Linked DNA regions of Danio rerio. The protein of the gene in region 2 interacts with the protein of the main gene of each other region in a biochemical or structural test. Links are inferred from orthologs where the notes say so. Each region holds a gene or a part of one and is shown on either strand. Other genes may lie near its edges.

Evidence for each region.
Region 1: the proteins of ptch1 (region 2) and shha are reported together in a solved structure, tested with the Homo sapiens proteins (5 studies listed by BioGRID and IntAct, with this or other methods). The link is inferred for Danio rerio from reciprocal best matches to the Homo sapiens genes PTCH1 and SHH.

What each region holds. Positions count from the first base shown.
Region 1 is NC_133182.1:41,234,915-41,237,484, reverse strand, and holds part of shha (sonic hedgehog protein precursor), read right to left. Parts: intron 1,526-2,570; coding exon 1,264-1,525; intron 1-1,263.
Region 2 is NC_133183.1:32,041,674-32,046,029, forward strand, and holds the start of ptch1 (protein patched homolog 1), read left to right. Parts: upstream 1-1,440; 5' UTR 1,441-1,829; coding exon 1,830-1,997; intron 1,998-4,356.

The DNA.
Region 1 (2,570 bases), on a different chromosome or scaffold from region 2:
AAAGCTTCTCTAAAAAACTTCAATGCCTTTGTGTGAGATGAAGGAGGAAAGAGCCTGGACTGCTCTAATTAAAAACCAATAAAGGCCGGACATTGTCATTCTAATGCAGCTTGTGTACAGAGCACTCTTGGAAAAGGACACTTCTGCCTTTCCCTTGCGCCTCTTTCATATTTGCTCAGGTGCAGAAACTTCTATGTGACAATTCACACTTATAGAATGAGAAAAACCCCAAGCAGGCTCAAATAGTATTTGCTCAGCCCCAGACACTTTTTTTTTCTAAGGCTCTAATGGTGTAGATTTGAATGTAAATTAGAAATGCTAGGGGTAGTCAATCAATGCCCTCTTCTTCTTTCCTTTCATTTTCCTCAAACCATCATGCTCTCCGTTGTCAAGCTTAATGACAATAATTCGGGCCTTGTGGGATCTCTTCACATTCCGATCTCTTGGGTCGGTAAACAGAGCTATAGAATGGACTTCTCGTCTAATCCTCTCTTAAGATTCTAGGGCATGAAATAAAGATGGTGACAATTGAGAAACAGATTTGGCGAACGGGTTGGAGCTGGTTCTCGTCGAAGCCGGTAATGTATTTGTAAATGTGTTTAGAATTTAAATGATAAGATCTGGCGAAAGCTTATGAGGGATTGTCAATGCGTTCCAGCTAATTTAGCTTCCGTCAATAATAATACGTTTATTAGACAAAAAATCCAGACGAGAATTACACCGTAATAGCGCACTAAATGTCACATGCTCCAATAATAATAAACACAAATTGTTTTACTTTCGAATTTTCGTGTGTAAAACCCTAGATTTTGGCGCATCTCTAGTGTCTGTGCAATGCGCATTGAGCTGCAGAGCAGAGAGTGATCTTGTGATAAGCGCTTCCTTCAAAGAGACAGAGAGGGGCGATGTAAGATCAGTTATTATATGGCCTGGCAAGTATTTCTAAGTGACTCGTTTTAACAGAATGATCTTTCAAAAGACTTTCTTAAGGTGTAGAAATTTAAAAGCAGGTCCTAAGATAGAAATATAACCTTTATATTTTTGTAAGATCTGTGTATCGCCTATTTACAATAATAAATATATGCATTAGAGATTTCTTACAATAACATATATTTCATGATTTAGTAGACTTCAGTAAAAAAAATAAATAAATAAATACAAATATATAAAAGCATTTTCTAATTTAAAATCTCCTGTTTTAACATGAGAGGGAGTGTGAAGCATTGTGCCTTCTTTTTTTTTTTGTCATTCCAGAGGTCTTACCTGCTTTGACAGAGCAATGAATGTGGGCTTTGGACTCGTAATAGACCCAGTCAAATCCAGCCTCCACAGCTAGGCGAGACAGTGTCCCGTATTTGCTCTTGTCTCGGTCAGAGGTGGTAATATCAACAGCTCTTCCCTCGTAGTGGAGTGATTCTTCAAAATGGTGACCGTCCTCATCCCAGCCCTCTGTCACACGCAGCTTAACCCCTGGCCAGTGGTTCATTACAGAGATGGCCAGCGAGTTCAGCTTGTCTTTGCATCTCTAATAGAAAGACAAAAAGAATGGGGCAAAAGGAAATTAGCCGTTGTTTAACGTTTCTATTAATTCATCCTAAATCTCCAAACAATTCCCAAATTATATTGCTTACTGATTATCTGTTTACATCCAGACAAGTTTAGTTAGTTTAGTTTAAAGGGTGTCATAAACTAGCTGATCTTATTATCATTTTCAGCCATGTCAGTCAGTTCTGAGCAACCATCTCAGGAATCAGAGATTTAGATATCATTAATCCAGTATGTTTTCTAATAGATACATCCAGACAAATGTGACTATGAGAAACCCATATTTACACTTGAAATAATTCAGCCTTGCATGCAAGGATAATCTGCTCAAGGAGCTCAATGAAAAATTTATAAGTTACTGCATTCGCTTCACTGATCTAAAACGTATAGATCCAACTAGGGAAAGGTGTGACTGAATCAGGGGCCATGTCTTTGCTTTAAAAGGCCAGAATGCATACAATGAAATTGGGTAAAAAAAAAGTAATTCGGTTAGTGGTGTTCATTATTATAACCTTGAGATTTAGAGCAGTAGGTCTCACTGAGGTGCAGGTATGAACTGTGGAATATCAGGCCATGTTTGGGTGCTAACCTTTCCCGGGACCTTGCTTTGAGATGCTTGGCCTTCACCAGGACAACTCTTCCCAACACTTAACCAATATGTCAAATAAAACACCACAAAAGACTCTTTCACTGCGTCCAAGAGGAGAAGCAACTACTCATTATTCTTGCAGCACAGGTTTGCTCAAGGGACGTGATGTGATTGCTTAACTGACGGTCTTTCAGAGGTTATATAAAATCTATTCAAAATATGCTGGCAAATTGTGACACTAAGCCAAATTAATACCTGTAATAATTCACACACATACCCTCCTAGCTTTGACTCACTTGCTCGCTTTCTCTGACTCTCCCCCCTTATACACACACACACACACACACATCCTTAGCCTCTAACATCCACATAAATTTCTCCAGCAGACTATCGCCCCACTTCCTACTGATCTGCTTGACCCTCTAATTTTCATGTC
Region 2 (4,356 bases):
CTGATACTCAATGTTAAAAACATAAAAGGAACCAAAGAAAACACAGAGATGGCTGCAGAGAAATTTAGCTTATCAATGCATTGTGTCACTTTCTCCTCAATACTGACCATTCAAATACCAAAACTGAACAGAATATATATATATATATATATATATATATATATATATATATATATATATATATATATATATATATATATATATATATATATATATATACTGTATATATAGCAACATAAAGCATCAGAGTACATGGGGTAATAATGGTGGTTGAGCAGTAATTTATCATTTATTATCACAGTAATTATCTGTAATGGGTACATAAAGTAAATTACTGTAATTTATTCTTTGCACTACAAAATTTCATACAAATCCTGCTCCTTTTACAGTAAAATACTGTTTCCTTTTATTACAGCAAAACACTGGCTATTTTACAGTTATTTACTGCATAATCTACATTAAGGGTTAACAGTGTAGTTGATGTGTTTATTAACATAACAATGGATAATACATATATTACAGTATTATTTTTTTAAACCTTTGTTAACATTGGTTAATAAAAATAAAGTTGTTTATTGTTCACTGTACACAGCATGAATTTGGATGTTGATGCATTAGTAAATGTTAAACTATGATAAACATATGCAGTACACGTATGGTTCATTATTAGTTCACGTTAATAAGTGTATTAACTAATGAAGCTTATGTATATGCATATAATTTAAATATGTCAAATATTTATAAATAATTTATACAAATTTTAAAAAGTTTAATATATAAATTTAAAATAAATATAATAAATGTAATATATAAGAAAAGCCTGAAAAATAATTTAGAATAATAGTAGCCTTTATAATATAAATAAAATATAAGATAAATAAATGTAATATATCTTATAACAAACAATAAGAAAGAAAGAAAGAAAGAAAGAAAGAAAGAAAGAAAGAAAGAAAGAAAGAAAGAAAGAAATTAAGAAAGAAAGAAAGAAAGAAAGAAAGAAAGAAAGAAATTAAGAAAGAAAGAAAGAAAGAAAGAAAGAAAGAAAAAAAGAAAGAAAGAAAGAAAGAAAGAAAGAAAGAAAGAAAGAAAGAAAGTGCTGTGTCTGTCCTGTCTCCAGAAATAAACTCTCCTCTTCTTTGCTCTCTCCGCTTCCTCCGCGCGCTCGGAGTCGGACTGCGCTCTTGCTCTTGTTGGCCCGCGCGCCTCGGTCGGACCCTGCAGAAAGTGGGCTTTGCTTCTTTAAGACTCCCCTGAAGTTTGAGATGCACACACGAGGGCTCTCGGCTTGGGTGGTCTCTCTACTTTGGTGAGCTGTTGCTAAGCAGCTAATAATAGTCGTGTTTGCTGAGTAATTTTTGCCCTTCTGGAACCAATCAGAGCGCAGGAACCCCGGCCATCTGACAGCCCCAGGGGCGGGCTCTCGAGCGCTTTGGCCACGCCCCTCCTCCTCTGTCTCCGAATGGAGAGTGATCTTTTTTCACATCTATTGAATCTCCCAGAGATCGCCTTGTCGCGCGGCCTGAGGAGGGACCACATAGATCACAGAAATGCTTCAGCCACCGAGGGATCGACGTTTGCAGAGCATCCACTGATCGCGCGAACTTTCCAGCGGACGCCGTGAAAGTGGGCAATTGTTGGAGACCTCCAGATTCGCGAAATGTTGCAATGGAAGGCGCAGACTCTGACTCGCCGTCTCAAACAGGAGTATGAAGTGCTTCGCGGATCTGGGATCAACGAGAGACAAACTTGGTTTTCTTCGGATATCACTAAACGCTCGCGGGGAAATACACTAGCGCGGATACCGAGACGCTCGGCGCAGACCTTGCAACATGGCCTCGGCTGTTAATGTCTCCTCCGAGCAGGAAAACAGAGACCCCGATCGGCCGAGGGTAACGCGGAGAAATAGGGGCAACTATCGGACCGCCGCGGCGGATTTGGAGTATTTGCAGCGGCCGAGCTATTGCGATGCCGCCTTTGCGCTGGAGCAGATATCAGAGGTGCTTTTATGCTTGCCCTGTTGGATTTTGTTGGGAATGCGCTGACAAAGTGCTCAACTTTAGTGAAGTCGCTAGGTAACGGGATAGCCACGGGACCGATGCGGGACCAACCTGTAGCCGCAGCGTTTGCGCTCCGACCAACCTAACCTAGGCTATCTGTCAGAAGCGAAGCTGAGCTTTGAAAGTGAAGCGGAGGCTCTTCAGATTTGTTGGTCAAGTTCGCCCTGACCGACTGATTGAAGCCCCCCTCAGATAGGATCTACACGGGGAGTAGTTTTCGTCCCGCACGATCCATGTGGCTGCCCTCTTCCGTTCACAAATATTGTCGTAACTCCCTCTGTGATGGCTGCAGCACTTCCCAAATCGCATCACATCGCGTCCCTTCTGCTATGCGACCCACGTGCATCTCCGGCTTTGGATATTGTAACCTGTTTCTGTGCTACAGTGTCCAAAGGATGCAGTCTGTCACATTGTAGCCATAGTCAGTTTAATGTCTGATAGTTTGTGCGTGGGTCTACAACTCATTTGAATTATACTACACAGCGAGAGAATAGGAGTAGTAGTATGGCAAGCTGTTTTCACATTCATTCATTACAACTTGGCAGTAGTTGTTTTTGTGTGTCCAATTTCATTAGCAGAAAGATCCTCTTTACACATGGTGTGCAGCTTTTTTGATACAACAACTAGCAGAAAATGTTAAATTCAATTGTCTAAATGGAAGCAAGCACTTTCAACCTCTTCTAGAGGTTGTTAAAAACACATTCAGTTGGGTTGTTTGAATTATTTGGAACAGCCACAAAACATGACCTGCTCTTTTGCCAATTGGCCTAATGTTTAAACACTTTGATGTGTTTCTGACATACACGAGCCAGATGGGATTTAAACTTTGCCTTTTCCAGTAAGTTTGGGTCGAAGGCAAAAAAGCACAATGGCATCAACAGCGCTCTGTGTAGATTTGCAGCTATGAGGGCAGAAAGGAAAGCTGCTGCTCTGTATCATTTTTGGTAGCCTCTCTCTGCTAAATTGTTCAATATTTTTTGTAACATTAGATTGAAAGTTCAGAAAACCTTCATTTGTGCACACACTCAAAATATCACAAAAGCAATTGAAAAAGCCTAAACAGATTAAAACACCAGGTGTGAACCGGAATGTGTCATCCTGGTCTACTGGTTATCCAGGGGATAAAAACTCAACTTAATATTTGGCCAAATAGCAGTTACCACAGAGATGTGTTTTGCTTTTGTGATTCATATTAGACTAATATATTTTACCAGTGTTATATATATATATATATATATATATATATATATATATATATATATATATATATATATATATATATATACACATATACATATATATATATAATTTTAGTGTTAATAAAAAACTAAGATTATCCTAAGTAGTTTATTCAGCTTGCCATAGTTCTTACTCCTTTGCTAAGTCACAATCAAAATTTTGACAAATATGTATTTAAATTATCGGTGGCAGTGGCTCAATATGAACTACGAGTTTCCATATAGTGAACATAGCAGCTTTTCAGGCATTTATAAGACAACTTACAATGTAAAAAATGCAGGGTTTCACGCTATTCCTTCATGTTGTTCCAACACAATTCGTTTAAGTTTACTTGATTGTTTATTAAAAATAAAGTGGATTGAACATAAAACTATTAAGTTGTCCCAAAAAAAGCCCCAAGAGTTGCATTGAGTCAGCTCATTTTAAATAAGTCATTTGAACTAGTAAAAAAAAAAAAAAAAAAAAAAATATATATATATATATATATATATATATATATATATATATATATATATATATATATATATATATATATATATATATATATATATATAAATACAGTTAAACTAGTTACAGGAATGACTATGTATTTTGGCTAAAATCTTACTGACAAATGAATCTGATTGTACACTAGTGACTAATAAACACAAGTATATAATACAGGTGCAAATGGAATAGACTGTAGTAAGTGATGGTAGATACTAGCAACTAATGAATTGTTACAGATGAAACTGAAGTTGGACTGATGTCTGAGTATTTTGGGAGACCACTGACACTGGTTATAACAGGGTAGTTACATACTATTGAAATAGTGACCCTAAATTATTATATTAAATAGTTATTACAAGGAAACTGTCACATAAAAAGATACTAGCCAGTCACTATTAGATTATTCACTAGTAATTACAAAGTACTTGTTATGTAAATATAGTATTAAAGAATAGATGTTTAAATGGCTTGCCATATGACAATGTATGCATGTTTCAAGGCTATTTTTAAAATCTTATGAGTGGAATAGTAATTACATAACCCATAAAACCTAGTTGTTTTAAAAATACAA